Linked DNA regions of Struthio camelus. The protein of the gene in region 1 purifies or fractionates together with the protein of each later gene. This does not show direct contact. Links are inferred from orthologs where the notes say so. Each region holds a gene or a part of one and is shown in the gene's direction. Other genes may lie near its edges.

The links. The genes of interacting proteins can lie anywhere in the genome.
Region 2: the proteins of EIF4A3 (region 1) and SRSF1 fractionate together in Homo sapiens (co-fractionation; 4 studies listed by BioGRID and IntAct, with this or other methods). This does not show direct contact. The link is inferred for Struthio camelus from reciprocal best matches to the Homo sapiens genes EIF4A3 and SRSF1.
Region 3: the proteins of EIF4A3 (region 1) and UPF1 purify together in Homo sapiens (co-immunoprecipitation; 8 studies listed by BioGRID and IntAct, with this or other methods). This does not show direct contact. The link is inferred for Struthio camelus from reciprocal best matches to the Homo sapiens genes EIF4A3 and UPF1.

What each region holds. Positions count from the first base shown.
Region 1 is NC_090944.1:139,884,966-139,892,773, reverse strand, and holds the start of EIF4A3 (eukaryotic initiation factor 4A-III), read left to right. Parts: upstream 1-4,793; 5' UTR 4,794-4,951; coding exon 4,952-5,123; intron 5,124-5,455; coding exon 5,456-5,528; intron 5,529-6,519; coding exon 6,520-6,586; intron 6,587-7,642; coding exon 7,643-7,705; intron 7,706-7,808. UniProt on the Homo sapiens protein: ATP-dependent RNA helicase. Involved in pre-mRNA splicing as component of the spliceosome. Core component of the splicing-dependent multiprotein exon junction complex (EJC) deposited at splice junctions on mRNAs.
Region 2 is NC_090957.1:20,532,294-20,540,251, forward strand, and holds the start of SRSF1 (serine/arginine-rich splicing factor 1), read left to right. Parts: upstream 1-4,931; 5' UTR 4,932-5,438; coding exon 5,439-5,632; intron 5,633-5,964; coding exon 5,965-6,149; intron 6,150-6,438; coding exon 6,439-6,611; intron 6,612-6,874; coding exon 6,875-7,069; 3' UTR 7,070-7,958. UniProt on the Homo sapiens protein: Plays a role in preventing exon skipping, ensuring the accuracy of splicing and regulating alternative splicing.
Region 3 is NC_090967.1:6,071,370-6,078,943, forward strand, and holds the start of UPF1 (regulator of nonsense transcripts 1), read left to right. Parts: upstream 1-4,547; 5' UTR 4,548-4,689; coding exon 4,690-4,914; intron 4,915-7,574. UniProt on the Homo sapiens protein: RNA-dependent helicase required for nonsense-mediated decay (NMD) of aberrant mRNAs containing premature stop codons and modulates the expression level of normal mRNAs.

The sequences.
Region 1 (7,808 bases):
CTGCTCTCAATGGTGCCAATAGGGCTTCTGTTGTCACATCATCCAAGCACCCTCCAGTCCTTGACGTGACCCCCATGTCTCACAGGGAGGCTTGGATCACATCCATCCAATCCCAGATTTTTCTCCAGTCCTGAGGTGGACAAAACCCCATCATTACAAACCTGCCTGCAAGCGCTCCTTCTTCCCCAGACAGGTGCTTGCTGGAAGGCCTTGTGCTTGCTTCACTCACTGCCGCCAGACAAGGCAGCACTAGAGACCCTGAGGATCTCCTTGGCTCTGCACCACTTCCTGGGGCCAAACAGCAGCGACAAGCTCAGACTTGGCAAATCCAGTGCCGTTGCTGGAGCAGAGGTGTGGGCCCACACAGCTTAGCGGGAAGGACAAGCTGCTTCCCTGCCCATCCAACAAATGCCTGGAAAGAAAACAGAGAGCAGTCAGCAGGGCAAAACTAGCAGAGAAAACCCGGAATCTTTCAATACTAAAAAGAGGCTGCAGGCACCCCACAGATACTGGAGAAAGCTCTACAAATAACACCAAGCTGCCAGGAGGTGAGATGTCCTGAACTGTCCCTCAGGCAGCCAAAAGGAGCAAGCGGTAAAGCAGTCTGATCTCCCTAACAACCCAGAAAACTCGGCATCCACAGAAACACTAACACTGGAAGTTATATAGTATCAGATGGTCTTGTGAAAAACATCAGACTAGGACTGCCAGACAACTTTTTGTTTGATCTAGGAGCTAAAATTGGGCTGGAGGCAGCTTAACTCTGCCTACTTCAGAGGCAAGCGCGATTCAGCCAAACTGACCCAAAGAGCAGCACCCAATTGCCAGAGACCCCATGCACAACTGGTAACATCTCCAAGAGTACCAATTTCACACCAAGTTTGGATGCCTTGCCTCACTCAACACTTACCTCAAAGTTGTAAGCCAAAAGAGCCTGAAACGCTTTGTGTTAGTCTTTTTTTTTTTTTTTTTTTTTTTTAAAAGAGTAGTTTTGCCCAGGATCCTGGACGGAGCTCCTCTGGCTGCTGGGGGAATCAGCTATTCACTTCTGCCTTAACGCACTGAAGTTGCAGTTACTTCTAAAGCATTTGCAAACACCTTGACAGTCCCTGGGATTAAAAGCACTAAGCAGAGAGAAATATTTTACATCAGTTAAAGCAGGATGAAGTTTGCTCTGTGCACTAAACGGGGGACAACCTTAGTCAGGAAAGGTGCAGAGATGTCAGCACTTCTGAAGCCCATGTTAGAATTGCGGTCATTTTTCCCCTCTGCCATGAAGTGCATTCCTCTCTCTCCAGTAAAAAAAAGAGGCTTGGCAGCGCTGCGTTATTCTGTATTATCATCCCGATCCACCTGCACAGGGTTTTAACTACTCAGACAGCTCTGGAAGGAGTCGTTTACTTACCGTACAGCGGTGAAGTCCAGACCATCCCCAGGAACTGCCCGGCAAGTGGAAAACTGTCCCCAAATCACTGCCCTCAGGTGCCCAAGTCACCTCCATTAGCGGCTCTTAAATCAGCCCCTCGTGAAACGAAACATCTTGGCCTGAATCACTCTCAGCAGAGCCCCATTGTTCAGCCTCCTTTTTGGGGGGGAAAAGGACAGAGAAACCTTCCCAGGCATGACAGCTGGATTTCTGTCTGGATTCTCTGCAGGACGTTTGTGTCACACTGCCCTTACACACTGTCCTGCATAAGGAACTGGCAATAACTTGTGGATCCTGATAATTAATGGAAATCACCTCCAAGCAACTGCAGATCAAGGCCTTGAACCAGGATCTTTAATTTTAAAGGAAAGCCTTCTTCCTTTAAACTCATCTCGTCAAGCGCTAACAGCCTTGGCTGCTTGAGAGGCGTTGGTGTACCCCGGGAAGAGAGCGTTGCATGGCTGAAAAAGCCAATCTGGAACTCCTCAGTGCTCACTCTGCCATCCTTGTCCAGTTTAGTGAATAAATCCTTGAGTTCCTAAAGACTGAGGTCAAGAGAAGAGAAACCTACCAGCTTCAGAAACACAGCTGCAAGCATCCAAACCAGCTTCTTAAAGGAAATCCCATTTTATTTTTTGCAGTGCAAACAGAACACACAATTAAAAAACCCTCTTTGAAAATTAACACTGCACTTCTTCCATGCACGTACAAAGAATCAAACTCCTCTCCGCCAAGCCTGAAACACTAGCCCAGTGGTGGATCCACACAAGCATGAAAACCATTTGAACCCTGCTCCGGTTCTGGGAGAGAAGGGATTAAGGCCCCCATGCCTACCCCAGGACCCCAAAGAGATGTGCGTTCACCCTGGACATAGCCTTTCATCTTGGAAACGGCAGAATCTTCTCAGATGCACAGCGAAAGGACAAGATATAACAGGCACAAGCTGCAACAAGGAAAACCCTGACTGGCCATAAGGAAAAAATTCTTCCACCTGAGTGTAGTGCATCCCTGAGACAGGTCCAGAAAGGCTGTGCGGTCTCCATCCTGGGAGATGTTCAAACCTTGACTGGACAAGCCCTGAGCAACGTGGTCTAGCCTGGAAGCTGGCCCTGCTGCGGTTAAGAGGACTAGACCAGAGGCCTTCAGAGTTCCCTTCCCACCACTACAGAGCAGCTCCTCTCCAGAGGAAGCTATCTCTGCCTCCAGGGAAATGAAGCTGTGCTGGAGTACACCGGCTGAGGACCAGTGCCTGTGCTCTGCAGGATGCAAAGGTTGCTTCGGACCATCATTTCGACTGTACGCAGTCAATGCACAGCAAATCCCCCTGCCAGTCCTCTCGCAACAGGCTGGCTCCCAGCCTTTCCCCCCTGCTCACCTTCTTCCTGAGCTCCTTCAGCCAAACGCTCTTGCAGACCAGCACCAGCCGAGGAATCCCTTGCCTCCCACACCAAGCGCCTCCCGGAGAGCCTGGACTTGAGCCTCAGCCACGTCCAAGCAAGGGCTGGGCACACGGCAGGGGCTGCAGCCTAGGTCAGGCTTCCAGGTGAAAACATGGTACGAGTCTGCCGTCCTGAAAACAGCCTTCCCACCACGTTGCCAGGGCCTTTACCGCTTTCACCCGCTTCGTTCGCCTTCGGGCTCTGTAAAAAGAAAGAGAAAAGAACGTCAGCCGCTCTCTGCCCCGGGGCGTGGGTCACGCACCCCAAACCTGCTGTCACTCCTCAAGGGTCCAGTTCCTCACAACCGTGTCCGCTCGCAACTGAAGCGGTACCGACCCACGTTCACCTGGTGCACCCCAGGCACCCTCAGACATGCTGGGCCTGGAAACACCCATTTTTCCATGACAGCTCTGTTTCGGCACGTCAAATGGAATTCTAGCTCAGGACTCAACGACCGTCCTGCCAAGTAGGAGAGAACCTTCCCCCGTGAGAGCTGAAGGGTTTGTTCAGAGATCAGCCAAGCAGCTGTCTAGACTGGTGGAAAGAGGACGAGGATGAAAAAGAAAAATCACTGCTGAAGGAGGAGAAAAAGGGGAAAAGAAGATGGAAGATGTAAATCTTGCTGAAATCCCAGACAGGAACGGAAGACGTGGGGTGCAGCACGCCCAGATCCAAACCCTCTGCCCCAGAAGCAAACCTGGAGACCCAGCTCTGTCAAAACGGGACCCCTGCTGCCTGCAGGACACGGGCAGAGGAACGGCAGGGACAGGGCTGGAGCCAGGCAAAGCAAAGCACGCTTTGCTCTTGGCTTCTCTCAGCTTCCTCTACAAATCTCTTTCTTTTCCCTTGTTTGACACCCCTGGGCTTGCACGGGGGTGATACGGGGGCTGAGAGCCAGCCCGTCCTCCACCCGCACGTTGCTCGGGGTGCTGCTGGGTCTGGGGCAGGACGCCAGGGTGCGCATGGGCAAAGCGGGTCCCACATGCAGGCACCTTCTGAAATACCGCTTTTGAAACAAGGGCGAGCCCCCGCGCTACCTGCAGTGCCTCCACGAACGAGAGATGGCAAAAGCACGCAGGCAACGCAAGCCGTCCGACCGCAGCGTTTCTCTCGGAGCGCCTCAGAGAGGCAGGATTTTTCCCAAACGGCCGGCGCAGAGCGGAGGTATTTTCATCACTCTTTGACGCTGGCCGTCACCTCACGAGCTCACAAGCCACCGACGCCTTCGCCGCTCCAGCCCCGGCCTCTCAGCCGCCGGCCAACTCTTTGCAGGGTACGCGTCGGCTGGAAGCCTCTTTCAATGCGTTTTGGGGTACGAATGGCCAAAGCAACGCAAATGAAAACAAACCAGGCTGGGAAAAAGGCCCGTTTTTATTTCCTCGCCGGGAGCACGGCTGCTTGGGGTTTCCACGGTAACTGCCGATTCCTGGCCGGGGAAATCTCTCTGCGCCAAGAGCCTGACCGAGGGCTACGACGCGCCGGGCGCTCAGCACCTTCGGGAGACACCTGGCCTAAGTAATTTTTTTTTTTTAATTTAGGTGTGTAAACACTGATTGACAGCTCCATTCGGGGGCATTTTTTGTTTTCCTTAAGCGGGCTCAGAGCGCTCATCCAGAGCTCATGCTGGGAGAGGAGAGGAGAGGAGAACAGCTCTTCCGGGCCGTTACAGCGAGCGGGAGTCCTGCCGCTAAAAATAATAACAATTAAAAAAAAAAAAACCACCAACAAAGCAAACGCTCAGCCTTAATCGGTAAAATATTTCAGTCAGCAGCAGCAGAAACGCAGCCCCACCACGCCCCTGCCTACACGACGACTAGACGGAGCCGCCGCCGCCCGCACCAAACCGGACAGAACCGGACCCAACCGGACCGGCCCGGGCCGCCTCGCGCGGCTCCTACCTGCCGCCCGCGCCGCCCCGCCGCGCATGCGCGCCGCCCGTCCCGCCCGTCCCACCCCCGCGGTGGCGCATGCGCGCCAGGCCGGGCCCTCCGTGCGTGGCGGCGGTTGTGCCGGTGCCGCTGCGTGCGCGCGGGGGGGAAGGGAGGGGGGAGACGGCGGCGGCGGCGAGGAACGGGCCTCAACAACGATGTCGGGGTCGGCGGGGTCCGGCGGCGCGACCGGCTCGGCGCGGAAGCGGCTCATGAAAGAGGAGGACATGACCAAGGTGGAGTTCGAGACGAGCGAGGAGGTGGACGTGACGCCCACCTTCGACACCATGGGCCTGCGCGAGGACCTGCTGCGCGGCATCTACGCCTACGGTGCGGCCCGGTGCGGCGGTGGGGGGGAGGGGAAGAACCGGGAGCGCGGCGGCGGCGGCGGCGGGGGGAGGGGGCTGGAGGCGCGCGGGGAGGGGGAGGGGCGGGCGGCGGCGGCGCCCGGATGTTGGGGCGGCGCGCGCATGCGCGCTGGAGCGGCGGCGCACGCAGCGTTCCCAGGTGGGGGCTTGAGGCGGAGGGGGGGGCGTGGTCTGGGTTGGGGGCGTGGCCACCATCGGATGGGCGTGGTCTGGAGGCGGAGGGGGCGTGGCGGGGGGGGACCGGGGTGTCCCTGGCCGCCCTGCCTCACCGCCCTTTCCTCCCGCTGCTGGCAGGTTTCGAGAAGCCGTCGGCCATCCAGCAGAGAGCAATCAAGCAGATCATCAAAGGGCGGGACGTGATCGCACAGTAAGTGGAGCCCCCCCCCCCCCCCCCCCCAGTGCACAGAGCCGGGCTCCGATCTCCAAAGGCTTCGGAAATACCCACCTGTTTGTCTTTATGAAGCTGGGGGGGGGGGGTTGCCCAAAAAGATGTGCAGTGAGTTGAGGGTGCTGGACGCCAGATGAACCGCCCACCGTCGGGAGGAGCTGGCGCTGCACGCGGCTCTGCTCGGAGCTGGCGTGGTCAGCGCTGCGAGCACCGGTGACGGTCCGTGCCCGCAGCTGGAGGTGAGGTGCGTCGATGGCGTTTCCCAGCCGTTGCTTGACGTGGCAGAGGACGGGGGAAATCACATCGTAAACGCTGTAGGGTGAAACAGGCCACCCGACATGCAGACAGTGTTCCTGACAGCGCTGGTAATATCTAGCCAACCCAAGTGGGTGATGTTCTAGATGTGCCACTGTGATAAACATTCAGCCAAGATGCTGTGTGTTCTGAATAAACGGGGGTCTGAGACTCTTGGGAGTGGTTTCCAGCAAAGCTAGAGAAGTACAGAGACACGTGCGGTCTCTCGTCAAGGGAAAAGAAGTAAGTAGAAACGATCTTGTATTTGTCTCCGGAAACAAAGGGTATACATCCAATTGAAAAAAAAATTTTCTCAGTCACTGGTGGAAATCAATAGCCTTCTGAATTGTAGCATATCTACTGCTTTACTTTAAAAGAAAAGAAAATCTTGCAAGGCAAATTGCAGAAAGTTGAAATGCTGGTGCAGTAAGGGGTAAACGTGACAGTGCTGGGACCCTGCAGTAGAGAGTACTCTAGCCCTGAGATTACATTTCTTAAAGCTGTTTTTCTTACCAGTCGAACTTGTCTTAGCAAGTTGTTGTTTGCAATATTCACTTCTTTGCAATGAACAAATGGCAGAAAGCTACCTTTGGGCAGAGGGGTGAGAGATGTATGTTGAAATTGCCTCTATTAGCTGTTCAGAAGAAAAAGTATTTACCAAACACCTCTTTCTCAGGTCACAGTCTGGAACGGGGAAGACAGCAACGTTCTCCATCTCTGTTCTGCAGTGCCTAGATATACAGGTGACTTCGCAGCACATGTTAAAAGAATTTTTAAAGTAGATCACTGGCATTTTCATTATAAAAGCCTTCATTTGGCTAGAGTGAAGGAATGAAGCTTTAAACTGAAATCTTTTAATTATGGGCAGTGACCTTCGGCCAAAATTCTGACTGAAAATTTCATCACGCTCTGTTGCTGTCAGGATTTAACTGTTAAACCCACCTTGACAGAATAAAAAGTTCAGATAAAATCTTGCAATTATAAAGCTGCCTTTTAACAGCTAATCTTTTCCAGATGCTTTTATTGACAGCATTAGATGGCTAAATTAATCTTCCAGCAGACAGTTGTCCTCAAACAGTCCTAACATCATCATCAACCTGTCCACGAACAGGTGGCACATATTGCACAGAGTCGAGCCAGATTTTTGCCTGACGGATGTTCATTTTTGTTCTAGTCAGGAGTATTTTGTTCGCCCAAATGTTTTTGAAATACAACTTATTATATAGGTGCACTTGAACATTAGCATGATTTTCTGTGGACCAGTAGTCCCTTAAATTAAGCTTTGTCATTCACTTGGTATTGCTTGGGGACATAATTATTAGCTCCCTGTTCTGAATGGAGAGGTCAGCTTTTCACCTCCTCTCTGTAAAGCGCTCAAAATATTTCGCAAATATGATACTTTAAAACATTGTCTTGGCATCCTTGAACAATGCAAAGCTTTTTTGCCTGAGTTGAAAGTATGAAAGTTAAGTCACTTGAAAATTTGTTTTTATTCTTTTACAAGAAAAGCACACTCGCTTTTATAATTGTTTTCAGAAACGAGGTTGGAATGAAAAATGAGGTGATGAAATGAAGAACTGCATCTTGTCAAAAGTAACTTACATAAGCAGCTGTTCCTGTGTAAACGCTTTGTGTGGGAGCAGCTTTCTAGGTGAACTGACCCTTCCAAGCAGTAGGTTTTAGCACAGAACTCTGTAATTAATCCTTCAAACGTGACATTGTGGAGCACTGTAGGATCTGTAATCTCGGTTGAGCTTGATCAGCCATGGCCATGTGATTAACTGAGCTGTTTTAATCAGGTTCGCGAGACCCAGGCATTGATCTTAGCCCCAACTCGGGAGTTGGCTGTACAGATTCAGAAGGTAGGAGCATTTAAAATGAACTGTACCTTTGGATTTCCCATTCTTTGTCTGTAAAGCACGCGTAAGGCCTGGGGTCAATTCTTAGGTAGTCCCTAGTAGAGCC
Region 2 (7,958 bases), on another chromosome or scaffold:
AGCAATAGCATGTGGGCCTGCTTAGCGGTACATGACCACACTGAGCCCGTGCCATCATTTTAAAGGCTCCTGTTCAGAGACGCTGTGTTTTACATAAAGCAAACAAAACAGTCTTCGTTGGTTGTAGCTTTTGGGGATGAAAAGATTTTTTCCACCTGTAAAATCCCTTCTCTCCTACAACTATCCATCTGAATTAATGAACGTCCACCTCTGACTCTTGCGGGCCCTTGCCGAGTTGCGGTCGTGGGCTATGTCTGCCCTAAATGCAGTGATTTAAATTCAGATGGAGTTACGGACAGCAAATGCCAGTCTGTCCAGCATTCTCTTCTGGGCTGGCTTTTCTTGTTTAAGTCTCTGTACCTACGTTTGTTCTTTCAGGCTGGCTTTCAGCAACAATTCACACAGTCGAAATGCATCGTGATATCGCAAGCCACGTGCTTGTGCACTTTTTTACCTTATGTATGAACCTAAATAAATAAAATGAGCTCTACCATCATCCACATTTAGGGGAAATATTTTCAAACCTGCACATATTTTCATTATCTTACCAAGATACTCAAATTTTGTCTGAACAATAAATAACTCCTTCAGTTTCTCTCACTTCCGAAATAGCTACTTAGGTTCTCTCCAATAAAAGTAAAAAATGCAAAATGTAGTCTGATGTTTTAACCACTTGCATTCTCCAAAATAAGGGGAGGTTTTGGCCCCCTCTCCTCGTTTCAAATAATGAGCCACTCTTATTAAAATCTACTTGGGCAGAAAATAGACTCCTCAAGGTCCCATTTAATCTTTCATTTCAGAGCACTCCTTTTATTCCACTGGAAAACACTACTGCCATCCTTCTATGCCCCCCTACACCACAGATCTTGGCATGAAAGACTAGTGGACCCTACTCACGTTCTTACCAACATTGCTGTGGAAAACTAGTGACCTATACTCTCAAAAAAAGAAAATAAATCCTGCCAAACACTAAGCATTGTCACTTTGGGGAAATACTTGAGTCTCAAGAAGATGAGATCTCAAAATCCCACAGAACTGCTCCATGTTACCAGCTCTGCCCTGTTCTATGCAAAGAAACATGAAAAAAATCTTGAAAAACTATACTTTAAATAAATCTTACAAGTAGTCCAAATTAGATTTTCTTCCCGAGGTATCTATCCCAAGTACTACTGTGTATATGCACCAGAACAGCAGTCTGAATAATCATTTTCACACTCTGCACGCTCCCATTCAATAGAGTATTTTTAACCAGTATAAAGAAAACTTTTCCTCAATAACATTTTTATGTACCAATGAACATCCATTGACGAGAAATCACGGACAAAATCAACTAATATGTTTTTGAAACTTTTTTGCACATGCAAATTAATAACACTGATGACAATGAAATCATTCGGCACTGTTTAAAATTGAAGGCCCCTCCAAATATTAACTTTATATTTCAAGCTCCAAAGACAGGATCCATGCATTTCAGTATCTGAGCTTTGATAAACTTATTTTACAACAAAGTAAGATTACTCAAGACTAATCCCAGCTGGACCTGACAGTACTAAGGAGGCTGCCAGTGACTTAGGAAAAACAGGTTCTCACTGACATAGCAAGAGAAGCTGCGAAGGTCACGAAACCGGCCACTCCGAACTGCTACCGAAGCGGTCAGGCGCCGCCTACGCTCGGGGCCGCGAGCTGTGTTCCCTGCTCTGTCGCTAGCTCTCTTAGGTGGTCTTGGGAAAATCGCTCTGCTTCCGACGCCTCGGCTTCACCGCACATGACAATGAATAATGACCCCATTATAAAGCGTTTTAGTATTTTGCATAAAAAGACCCACCTCAGGCATTGGCACGGTTATGCGAAAAAGAGTGAGAGTGCATGTTAACACAATGGGAAGACTTCTGAGAACGAGGGAGAGAGAAAGGAAAGCTGTGAGAACGGCAGAAAGAGCTAAAGCAAACGTGCTATTTTTCTTTCTGTATACGAGAGGGCCTACAGCAGACTAAGAAGCAATTATAACAAATCGTACTGTAGCGTACCTCTATCTGGCAAGCTAGGTACGTGCAGATACTCCTGATACTGGGTTACACGGTTAATATTTGCTTTACTGATCAATATGCTCAAATTGAAAGCCATGCTTTACATTACTCTCATTTTGAAAACTAAAGCCTGTTATTCCACAGTAGTCCGTTTTTTTACAAGATTATTTGCCATTCCCCTCCTGGTAATTTATTTTCTACATAATTAATAACGTTTAATGATTCTCCACAAGCACACTTTGCCAGAAAGCCAAAAGTGACTCTGACAAAGCAAACATGTTTTGCAGCTTATCCAACTGTTTTAAAGCTATCTGTTGGTAACACAAAGCTAAAAATGCAATGAGGAAGAAAATAATCAATAATTCTATAAAGAGACACTTCATTATGGTAATTAAGGCAATGATTTAAAGTAGTTATGAGGATGATTAACACACAAAAGAAATTATGCAATAGGGTTTTAGCAAACCAGGCAGACTTACTACTATTTTATGATGCCTTACAGAGTAACTTTCAGCAATTTAATAAGCTTTTGAAAATAAAGACTAATTTCTTGTCTCTATACCTGGAAAGAGTATATTCTCAGTTTGGGGGGGGGAATTTTTTTAAGTATGCATTAAGTATTTCTACTGATTTGGTAAATGACTAAATTAGCTTGTCAAGTTATGCTGGTTCAAAAGATGTATTTACCAAGAGTACCCAGTGAACTTACGTACGTGGCCTAGAACCACATGGGTACTACAGTCACTGCTTCATCAGTTCATATTCTGGTAGAGTTGTGAAACGGTAATATTCTGTAAAGATGTAGAAAATGTCCAGATAGTGGGTAGTTTACACTCAGAGAAACCACCGCTTCTGAAGATGGGCTTTCTTTTAACATCTTTCAGTGATTAATAGCAGTCTTTTATCTAAACCACTAGCAATCTAACGTAGTTATTACCAATGTTAAAAATCATTAGAGTAGAACATATTACTGTACTTTAACCTACATGAGAGAGAAATGAAAGGCATTCATAATAGTCAAACGCATTACAACATCATACTGGAAATATTTTTCTAAGTCATTAGGACCGCTGTTTTCTAGAGGAATATGCATTTGCAATTAGTACATGAAAAATGAAGTATGCATGACAGACACTACTAAAGAGGCATGACACATTTTTCAAAATCCCCTAATTAACTCAGGAGCCTAAAGGGTTTTTCTGCATATTCACATACTATTTTAACCCTACCACTGTAGTTACAGTGATACAACCTTCCCTGCACCATGTGGACTTGCTTGAGCTGTTATGGAAGATACTACAGAAAGATAAATAAGGGACACGCAGCCTAGCGTTTGTAACAGTACAACTATCTCAGCTGCTTTTTAGGTCTCCCTCCCACACCTGATACAGCGTGTAGACCAAACGAAGAATCTCGTTTCAAAAGCAGTTTGTGATGTGAACTCCGAGCAGCGAAGCGTGGGCAAAACAAAAAGTCAGGGTGGGTTATGGCGAGGTGGGAACGTACCAGGGAACAGCTGCTGCGCTGTAAGGGTTTGCATGCACGCTCTACGCCCTACGCAACGCACAGAAACGTGCACTGTTTACTGAGGGTGCGCTAGTTCGCTTGACCCAGGAGAAAGACTGTGCCCACAGCTACTCGCCAGAAAGTGATGGCCTCCTCCAGCAGTAACACCTTCCTCAGTTTATATTCTTGGACACACTCTTAACAAGAGTGAGACGCAATACCTTTGAGAACCGGACACATTTTCTAAGGTACTTTTGAAATGGAGGCTTGAGATTTCACGTCATTTTATCTGCAGCCTTCCGAAAACCTGCATGCCAACACAGCCTTAAACATCAAGGAGGGACTGCTGGCCAAAACAGTATTATGTTTTTAAACTGAAGTTTGGGTCATCTCCTCCCATCCTCCCTAGTAAGCAGCAGTTTGTACGCTGAACAGTAACACCCACTGCTTTAATAGCTCTTTCAGGACTTTGTGACATACTAGAATATATTGGTCTTTAAAAACGACTTTACGTGCATGACAATCACAGGAACATAATAGTGCTATACATTTTTTTCTTGCTTCTTCTATAGGACTTTATTTTCTGCCCTCCCTTGCATGCATTTCTCATGCATCATAATCTCAAAGCATCCTCATTTGAGACCTACAGTTCCCTGTCTCCCAAATGCTTTTTTGGCTCCTTCGCTTTTTAAAATTCATGCAGACTACAAAGTCAGGCACATCTTTTAAGGTCTGTTTTGTCCCTCTTGCTTTGATCCTCAAACTTATAACACTGGGGCTTTGATGGCTGATTCTTAAGAGGCAGCTGTCCTTCCAGAACAGGATAGCAATCAGTGGGCACTCTGAAGAATGTCGAATTTAGAAAGGGGAAGGCTGCAGGGACCAGTTAGTAAAAAAAAAAAAAAGAAAGAAAGAAAGAAAGAAAAAAATCAGCCCCAAGCTGACTGAACCCCAAGTTCTGACTGGATTCCCCCTCCCCAGGACCGGTGAGGACGGTGCTCTCAGGGCCGAGGGCTGCAGCCGGGCCGGGCCCAGCCCCGCTCCTCATCCCCGGCAGGCCTCCTGCACTGCCTCGGGGCGGCCATTTTACCTCGGGGCAGCGCAGCGCTCTGCCCCTCGGGCAAGCGCCGCTCAGCCCCGCCGGCAAGACCCCCCTGGCTGGACCCCCCGGGCCGGGGCACCCCCAGCCCCGCTCCCCGCGGCCGGGAGGCCAGGCCAGGCCCGGCGCGGCCCCGCCGAGGCCCGCGGCCTCCCCACCGCCGCTGCGCCGCGCCCCGCCGCCCCCCACCCCGGCCGCCGCTGTGCATTGTGGGACACAGCCCGCGCCTTGGCGCCAAGCGCCCCCGCCGCTCCCCGCGCGGTGCACTGTGGGACGGGCCCCTCCCCTGCCCCCAGCCGGGCCTTCTTTGCGTGGACTCCGCACCGGATGTGACGCCACCGGCCTGCCGCCGTGATAAGCGCGGCCGTTGAAGGGGCTCTTGCCCCAAACGCGGGGAGCCGGGGCTCCCTGAGGAAGGATTTAGCTCGCCGCAGCCCTCCCACCGGGAGCTGCGCTGCCGGGACTGGCCCGGCTTCTTAGCTGTAATCGCCGAGAGCCAAAAAAAAAAAAAAAATAGCGGGACTACTTTTTCCTGCCGCGCATGCGCAGGAGGGCGGGGTGGGAGCGCGGCGGCGGGAGACGCGGGCTCGGCCGCACTTGTGGTGGTAAAGGCGGTGCTGCGTCCCGGGGTGAAATCGCTGCGCGCAGTAGGACCGCGAGGGAAGCCGTGGTCGCCATTTTGAAGCGGTTGTTGGGGGAGGCGGCGTGTGTGCGCTCCCGTGTGCCCGGCTCGGCCCCCGCGCTCGCCGACCCGTCCGCTCGCTGAGCTCCGGCTCTCCACCGCCGCAGCCATTGCTGACCTTGCCATGTCCGGAGGGGGCGTGATTCGCGGCCCAGCCGGCAACAACGACTGCCGCATCTACGTGGGGAACCTGCCCCCCGACATCCGCACCAAGGACATCGAGGACGTGTTCTACAAGTACGGCGCCATCCGCGACATCGACCTCAAGAACCGCCGCGGCGGGCCGCCCTTCGCCTTCGTGGAGTTCGAGGACCCCAGGTGAGGCCCCCGCCGGCCCTGCCGTTGGGGTAGGGGGGGTGGGGGGCCCCCCGCGTGTGCCCACCCGCGGCCTGCTGGGGAAGGGAGAACCGCGACGTTTCCCGACCCCCCCCCCCCACAGCCGCCCCAGCGATCCGGGGCACCCGCCGGAGCCCTAACGGCCTCCCCCGTGCTCTCCCCCCGCTCCGTGGGGCGGCCGCGGCCCGCGCGGGGGGAGGGCGGGGTGGGGCCGGCGGGAAGCGGGAACAAAGGCGGGGGGGGGCGGTGCGTGGGCAGGGCGCGGCGGGTTGGGCGCGCTGCGGTCGGCGCTCACCGCCCGTCCCGGCCCGCAGGGACGCGGAGGACGCCGTCTACGGGCGGGACGGCTACGATTACGATGGGTATCGCCTCCGCGTGGAGTTCCCTCGGAGCGGCCGGGGCACCGGCAGAGGCGGTGGCGGCGGCGGAGGGGGTGGCGCCCCCCGGGGCAGGTATGGCCCCCCGTCCCGGCGCTCGGAGTACAGAGTGATCGTCTCGGGTGAGTCCTTTCTCTCTTTCTCTAGTTAACGCGTTTCCCCCGGGGGTCCTCGAGGCGGCTTCGCAGCGCCTGGTTTCCGTGCGGAGCCATGCCGTTCCTGCAGCTTTTTCCCCCCCTTAAAAAGCATCCCCCTCGGGTATTCTGGAAGCAGTGTTCACAGCTTCTCAAGGCAGCCTTTCTCCTTACTGAATAGTTTGTCTCACCTGTTGTGGCATGCTATTGTATCTAATATCTAATACTGTATGATAATGTAGTTCATTTTTCAAGTAATGTATTGCCTTTTATTCAGGGCTGCCTCCAAGTGGAAGTTGGCAGGATTTAAAGGATCACATGCGTGAAGCAGGTGATGTATGTTATGCTGATGTTTTCCGAGATGGCACTGGTGTCGTGGAGTTTGTACGGAAGGAAGATATGACCTACGCTGTGCGAAAACTGGATAACACTAAATTTAGATCTCATGAGGTAGGTTTCATGCTTATTTTTGGGCCAGAATTGGATACAAAGGGCTTAACGATAGGATTTGAAGGTAAGGATGTGTGGTTGCCATTGTACTAATACGCAAAGCATGTAAGCTAAGCCCGTAGTCAGTTTGTCGTAAAATAGACTTTAAAGACTTGATGTCTATTTCTGTGCTTTGGTAAACAATATCTTCAGTCTGTCAGCATGCCTAAAAAGATGGCCGTAAAGCCTAGACCCTTCAATCGAAAGTTCTGTCTATTCAATAGGGAGAAACTGCCTACATCCGTGTTAAAGTTGATGGTCCAAGAAGTCCAAGCTATGGAAGATCTCGGTCACGCAGCCGTAGTCGTAGCAGAAGCCGTAGTCGAAGCAACAGCAGAAGCCGCAGTTATTCCCCAAGAAGAAGCAGAGGATCTCCACGCTACTCTCCCCGTCACAGCAGATCCCGTTCTCGTACATAAATGATCACTAGCAATGATCTTTTTGTAGAACCCCGTGTTGTACACAGTTTTCCTTTACTCAGTACAGTCTTTCATTTTTTAATTCAAACTGTTTTATTCAAATTGGCTGAAGTGTTGAATTGCATTCTTGTGTAAAATCCCTAGTGAGTATTTGCTCCTTAACATCAACATTCCCCTCATGTCTTTGGTAAATTGTATTTTAATTGATGTCAGTCAGGATTGTTTCAATTTAGTTATAGTTAACTACCAACATTCTTCAAACTGTGGTATTGCTGTGTAAATGTCTCAGTGTTCGGCTATGGTTTATACAAGCTGGGGATGTTGGGATGTTTGTGGCTAACTTGTCTCTTCTGGGGGATCTTATATTTTATCTTGCCTTTTCGTGTGTCTTTCTGTAGACATATCTGAAGAGATGGATTAAGAATGCTTTGGATTAAAGGATTGTGGAGCACATGTCAATCATTTTAGGATTGTCAAAAGGAGGATTGAGGAGGATCAGATCAATAATGGAGGCAATGGTATGACTCCAAGTGCTATTGTCACAGATGAAATTGGCAGTATTGACCTTATACTGAGAGACAGGTTAATTGAGTACATGCACCTACTTGTCACTTCTTCAGGCATGTTTTAGTTCCCGCAGACTACAATTGCTCTTTTCTTTAAAACTTTTTTGGCAATTGTGGCTAAATACTTGCTTTTGTAATTCTCTATTCCATTCTAGTTTTTTAAAGGAATAAACCGGGACGGGGTGGGAGTACTGGTTTACTTTGTCATGCAGCATTTGGTTACAAGTGTTAATGTTATGTAGTATTTGTACACTTGTAGATAAAGGGTACCTTCAAATCAGATAGAGTATAATATCAATACTGCTAAAATCTGCATGTCCTCT
Region 3 (7,574 bases), on another chromosome or scaffold:
TTGCATCGTCAGCCATTAGTTCATGAAAATCAAATACAAGTAAACAAAAATAGCTCCACAATCTTCTTGTCCAGTGCCTATTAAATGCTCCAATATTTGTTGGTCCAATAGCTAGAGATGGAACAAAAATACAGGCAGCCCAAACACTCCCTATCCCAACACTACTACAGACATTCCAGCAGGAAAAAGGTCAGAAAAGATTATGAAGTTCTGGGAAAAGATCCATTTTAGCTATTAATACTTATTATCACATTTTCTAAAGTCCAGGAAGCTTTCTAGAGATTATTTGGGATGAAGGAAGCTATCAAAATGTTATGATCCCAGAAGACCTTTCCAAACAAAAGGAAATATATGTTGCTATGAATCTTTTCCAACGCTATGTTAGCTTTCCTTCTATGTCCCTCTTGTGGTGACTGAGCAGAAGTGTAACATCTGCAATGGAATGGCTAGTTTACTGTCTTCCAAAATTTTTGCTTTGTTGCTGCATTTTTGGTGCTTTTTTCATTAAAAGATTTTCTCTTTCAAGATTCTTTGATATTGAAAACTTCTCAGTATATTCTGACAAGGAAATAGGTTTTTGCTTTTTTGTTTTTTTTTAAAGTATCCTCTGCTCTTCCATTTCCTAGCAGTCAGGCTAGGTAAAACTCCAAGGGATTTTCACTTGAAGATTTGTTTTAGGAGAGAGGCAAACAAAAGGAAGAACAGAGAGAGAAGAACTTTTAAACTAATGAGAGTTTCATGAATACGAAACCAAAAAGAAAAAATAAATAGATGCTAAAATGCAAATGTGAAGCGACAAAACTGGTAAGAAGGTAAAGTGATTAAATATGCATAATAAATTTACTGATTACATTTATAGTTCTATAATATGTTAATGTATTGCAAAATCACAGTACTTATTGTATAGAAATCACCATCAGCTGTGCAGTGTGTGAGTGTTCCTTATGAATTCTTTATCAAGAACATGGGATCTCCACCTGAGAGATATCAGATAAGGCAAACGTGTACTTTATACGTATTGTCCCCTAACCTGGGATGTTTTATTCCAGGATAAAAATACTTGATTTTTTTAAGCCAACCCTGCCATTTAAAGTAGCAGCTCTGCAAAGATTTTTCACACCCAGTTTGATTGGCTCTGAACCCTTCCCGTCATCATGACACCTCCTAACACTATCTCCAAGGCTTGGAGTTTGCAGAGACCAATCAGTTCATTCTTTTTCATAACAGGTTTTTTTTCACTCTTCTCTTGTGCAGTTAGCAAATCCTGATGCGAGTGTGTCTTGGAATTGAAATGAGTTTCAAGGAAAATCCTTTGGCACAGCTAACTATTCTGAGACAGGATTGAATTATTTCTATCAATGGCTAAACTGCAGTACACATCATTTCAACACTTACAATCAAGAAGAACCTTTACTTTCACCTCTTCAAGATAAACAACTTAAACTTTCTTGCTTATGGAAGCAAGCAAAAAGTATCCTCTTTAAATTCATCCAAATCTGTTCTCTCGGACAGCTTTTTATGACTAAGTATGCCCTGCAAATTCTAGCTTCTATCCATGTATAAAAATGGTAAAACATCATAATTTTCTCAGAGATTGTGTTCTCATTTTCCAGAGCGTTACCTTTTTAGATTTCATATTGGGCACGCAGTAGTAAAGACCAATGACTCAGAGTGGCCATCCCGCTACATGAGCCCATACTTAAAAGATAAAACTTTCACAAGAACATTAGATAAAACACAGCTCACAGAAACAAATGTTGTCCAGGAAGCTTTGTAGTGCAGCCTGCATACATTTTTTACCTCAAAATACACCAGAGTAGTCCACAGAGTTTCTCGCATGCAGTAAACTATGATCAAACAATTATGCCATGAGATACAGATGCAGCCTCTCCAGAAGTCATGCCTCTATATTGGTACAAACACAACCGGGAGCCTAACGGCCACGACTAATTACCAGTCTAATCTAGCTTGCCCTTGTTGAAACATATCAGAGTGAACTATAGGCTTTCCACACCTGACTCACTATGGTTTTACTTTTTACCTGTGTAACAGGGAAACTGAACCTCCTGGGGGGTAGGGGATCCACAGAACCTCTTTGCAGCCCTCCAATTTCAGCACCTTAGACAGCAGCGCGATTCTGTCGGAGGACACAGCTTACGTCGCTGGTGCTTCCGTATCACAAACTGAGTTCAGCTTCTGATGGCACTATGAGCGCAGGACCTGCAACTTTCTATATGTTTTCCAACTAAAGTCTGTTTGAAAACATTCTTATTTTCCGTATTATGCAGAGGACAGGGGGAAAAAATCCAGGCAGCCATTAGCAACACATCAAAACTTTGATCGGTGTCCAAAACTTTTGAGGATTCTGTAAACCAGCCAAAAGTTGAAGTATGTTTTGTTTATTCATAAACAAGTGTCTGTACTAAACGGCCTACCTGATTTTATAAATTTCTTCCTCAATTCTGCTTTCATCCTAAAGTAGGATTTATTATTTTCTCACAGTTGTACTTTTCCCTAAACTACAAAACAGTTAATTTCCAGTTTGCTTTATGGAAATACCAATTTGGTTCATCCTCTGAATGCTTTCCAATGAGATTATAGGTGGTACTTAATTCAGCTGTATTTCACCTTCAGGAATCAAAGAGCCTAAACATTCGGACTGTCCTGTAACACTGGTGAAATTATGTATGACTTATCTTGATATCACTGTGCAAAATAGCAGCTAATGCGGCAGTCATAATTCCAGAATCAATTTTTCATTCTGCCTTTTGGTTTTAGTCGTTTGTTTGATTAATCTACTTTAACCTGAATCTTGAATTAGGATACTTTTATAATAAGCTATTGGTGTAGTCTCCTTCTTCACAGAGGCTTAAAGCTAAAGAGGAATTCAAACAGTCAGTGTGTGAAAAATGATAACTAACTCTACTTGCTTTTTCCCCCAATTTGGTGCACAATATTCCCAGGACAAGGATATTCTTCTGTCTTCAGCTACATCTTTTCGGCTTAACAGCTGCAAATCTGGTCCCACATATTGTTTTGGTTCCAGGCTTTATCCTACACCAACAGCAAGAACAAAATTAAAGTTACTTACAAAAAGGCAGTACATATTTGCATCTTACAGTTGTCAAATGAAGTCTTTAGTAGGGAAAACGGATTGAATATCTAACTTTTCGCGTCAATGTTTTTCACAACACAGAAGTTATCTCAAAAAAAGATGCTTTGTTCTAATAAAAGGATGTTGAAATGAGGGCACTCAAATTTTCTCTTTATTTATGGGTAGCAACACGTGATACTCACCTCCTCTGCAGAGCCCAGTCATTCACCTTCCTCGACCTGGAGGAATTTCCATGGCCCACTCCATTACCCCCACCCTGTGGCAACTCAGCTTTCTGACTATTTTTACACTGTTAAATTATGACTATTACGAGTATAATAGGTATTACAGCTAGAGCAGATATTATTATAACAGTGGAGCCTTCTTAATCATCACGTCTGTCTCAAAACAGACCTCAAGCCCCCCCACACAACTCTCCTACCTGCTCTCTGCGTGACTCAACGCACTCATTTCAAACGGGGGACATGAGGTAAGGAGGCCGTAGAAAAGGTGCTAGCAGCTCCCGGCGAGGACGAGGGGGTGAAGGACCCCACGTTGCCTCCACAGGGGCAAACACCACCACGAGCCCCCCCCATGGCTTACCCTTACACGGGCCGTGCACCACCACAGTCCCCCTCCCCTCCCCCACCACCACAGAGGCCGCTGCCTCCACAGGGGCCGGCCACCTCCGCAGCCCCCCCGCAACCACAGGGGCCGGCCACCACCATAGCTCCCCCCCTCCCGCTCCCGTCGCCTCCACAAGGGCCGATAACCACCTCCCCCCCCCCCGAAACCCCTTGCCGTCACAGGCGCCAACCGCCACCACAGGGGCCAACGGCCGCCACAGGGGCCAAAGGCTCCCACAGCGCCCCCCCTCCCATACAGCCCGCCCTTCCTCCTCAGCTCGAGGGCCCATTGGCTGTCAGGGCCGTCAGTCAAGGAGTAAGCCCCGCCCCCTACGCGCCGCCGCGGGCGGGGGGAAGGAGTTGAGCGGGGGGAAAAGGGGCAGCGCCCCCCGCCCGCCAGGTGGCTGGCGGCGCCTCCCCCGCGCGGCGCGGCGCGAGCCCCTTCGCGCCTTCCGCCGGAGCCCCGCCCCCTCGCCTGCCCTCCCCAGGTGTGTGCGTGCTACGTCACCCCTCCCACGCGTACGGGGCGTGCTGGCGTCGTCGTCCCTCCGTGCGCTGCGCGTCACCGCTCCTGGCCTGGCGCGCGGCGGCGGCGGCGGCAGCAGCGGCGGCGGCGGCGGCCGGACGGTTCCGCTCCCAGCGCCTCGGGGCTCGGTTCTGTGGCGGGGCCCGCCCGCTTCCCCCTCCCCCCCGCCTCCTTCGGCCGCGTCCCCCCCCCCGCCCGCCTTCCTTTCCCCCCCCCCCCCTCCGCCGTTGGCTCGGCCGCCCCGGCGGCGGGTTCGTTGGTGGCCGGCCGGCTGGCGCGCGCGCGCGCGGCCTGGTGCGCGCGGCGGATCCTGCCGCTCGCGTAGCGCGGCGCCCGGGCTCGCTGAGGTGAGGCCCGGCCGGGCTCGGCCTCGGGCACGGGCTCGCGTTTTTTTTTTTGGGGGGGGGGGAGAAGCGCCGCTTCTCGACGCCGCCGCCGCCGCCATGAGCGTGGAGGCGTACGGCCCCAGCTCGCAAACCCTCACCTTCCTGGACACCGAGGAGGCCGAGCTGCTCGGCGCCGACACGCAGGGCTCCGAGTTCGAGTTCACCGACTTCACCCTCCCCAGCCAGACCCAAACCCCGCCCGGGCCCGGGCAGGCGGGGCCGGGGCAGGGCCAAGGACCCCCCGGAGCGGGGCAGGGGCCGCCGGGACCCATCGAGGCACAGGTGAGACCGCGTTGGTGGCCGGGGGGGGGGGGGTCAGGGCGTCTCCGCCACCGGGGAAGCGGAGGAGGGAGGTGGGGGGGGTCCGGAAGGGGCGGGCGGGCCCGGCCGTGGGGCCGGCGAGGGGAAGCCCTGAGCGGGCTGGGCGCTCCGGACGGGAAAGTGGAAGCGGCGTGATGCTGACCCGCGCAGAGGAGGCTCCCGGCCGCGGAGCGGGCGGCCCGGCGCTGGCTGCCCTCCCCGAGCCGGCAGCCGGGGGGGTGGGGGGGGACACACGGGCCTGAAACCCGTGGGCTTTTCTTCCTTCCCTGGGAACGGAGGGAGAGGGCGCCGAGGCTAAAAACTTGCGGTCTCTCTTCCGCTGGTAAAGCCAGCGGCCCTCTCTGTTGGATCGGGACAGGCGCGTCGCTTTTCGGTGCGATGCCGAAGTAAGACATCGGAGATGCTTCAGGATGTGGTCGCGGCTTGTTTCCGTCTTTAAAACAAATATAATTACAGGTAGTACTTGCTTTTCCAAAAGTTGGATACTGCACCTGTGGAAATTCACTGTTACTCCCTTTAATTTATTCCTTTCTCTGACTGAGACCAATAGATGCGTGTTTTTTTTTTAATTATTATTTTTATCCTTACTCTTTGCCACCTTTCCTCCTGCACAGTTGCTAAGCTCGTTTGTTTTGGGTTGGTATGGGATATGGGAGCAACAAGCAATATGGCCTTATGCTCCAATTCAGAGGTCTGTTTCCTGATAGCTTAAAAATGAGTATTTTTTTATATAGTCTGATGTTGGTTGGTAGATGAGTTTGTTATTTGACAGTAGTGGCCTTACAGAAGTGAAAGCAAAAAGGGAACTGCGGTTATATACTCGCATGCCAAGAAGTGTTCTAAATGAGAATGCTGTCTGTCTCTGTGCCACACCTTGGCGGTGTACGTAACAAAAAAACCTGAGAAACTGTTCCATATTTTTAAAAAAAGTGAAACTAGGCTCTCCATGTGAAGATCGTGGAATGTACTGATAAGTTTTATTGCATCTAGGTAAACACTTATGTAGTTCTATTGTTAATGATGAAATGATTATAAATTATCCATGTTTTAAAGCATGACTTTAAAGATGAGTTGAAATACTGTAGATAAAAGTTCTTAATCCTGAACCAAAACACAGTTTGGATGGTTTTTGATTTTTTCCTCTTACTTGCAAATACTGACTGATGTATGGGGTTCCATAAATGATATAGCTGTGGATATACAAGTGAGCAAACTTAAAACAGGTCAAGCTGTCCAGGTATTGAAGATCTACAGGTGTGCGGTGCAAGGCTAAAAGTGGTATTATCCTGCCATAGCAGATGTATCCCAGGATGAATTGATTGATTGTCTTGTGTTTTCAGATGCTTAGCGTACACCCTGGGTGTAGCTGCTATGGTGTGACTTGCTCCAGGTTCGCATGCTTATGTCTGTACCCAAAGGTGGAATTAGAGATGTGACCCCGTGGGCTGTTTGTTGTTTTATTTTATAATAATTAACAACTCAGATTTAGATTTGGCAAGGTAAACATTTTTCCTATTTGAGAATTCAGGCATCACAATTATTAAATATTGATAAAATCTGTGTGTCTGTATGCAGTCAGCATATATATTAATTGGTTGAAAAGGTAGCTTTAATAAAGTCGTCTTAATTTTCAAAGCTTTAATCGGTTGTGATCTTTCCAGAACTCATGGTAGAGAACTACAAGCCAGAAGAACAAAAAAAAAAAAAACCCAAATAAACTTATGCTAAAAGACCAGACTAGAGGATTTTTTTTGTCTAAACATGTTTGAAAAGCCTTTGAAGTAAAATGGGAAAAAAAAAAAAAAAAGCATAGAGAGCACATTCAGGTATTAAGAAGTCGATAGCCATCCTGCCAAGGGGAAAGAATGGTGCATTTTTTTCTTCCTTTCCTTTTTTCTTTTTGTCAAACTGAATACTCTTAAGGTGCTTTTTGCAGAATCTTTCTGATGCTCATCTTGATGCCAGAAGTTATATGCTGGGGAGAGGGGAACGGACCTATTGTGACAGTAACTGCCAAAAAACAAATCCCTCTATCTGTTTAGGCTTGTACATTTCAACAGTCTCATCTGTTATAAGATCAGAAGTTATATATTTTTAAAGATTGTGGAGAATATTTTGTTACTTTGAATATGTAAACTTGTCGTGTCTTTTGACAGGGAAGATGCTAAAAATGCAACTTCAAAGGCCTGAAAATTGATCGCATTCATTTTTTCTCAGTTAATTTTTGTTACTGTAATATAACTAAAGCTAATTAAATGTATAATCATTATTCAAAGCTGATAAACACTGGAGACGTGTCATTTTATCCTGCTGTTCCATGTTCTGATATCTTCTTAGTGTCCTGGTGTTTAAAAAGATTAGTCGAGAAAGACAGAGCACCTAATTTCTTAAGAAAATGTGATTGATTTAGCCACTCTAAAGGGGCTTCCTTCCCCTACATATATTTAACTAATAGTTTAAGAGGATGTTGTTGCAATAGATTAGTATGCAACTGACAAAAGGTAGTGAGAAGATAACAGTGCAGAAGCAATTCTGCTGTTTCTCTTTGGAAAACGTTATTTTTGTTGTTTACATATGGCATGTTTAGGCAAATCAACTCATATGTTCAATTTTAATACTTC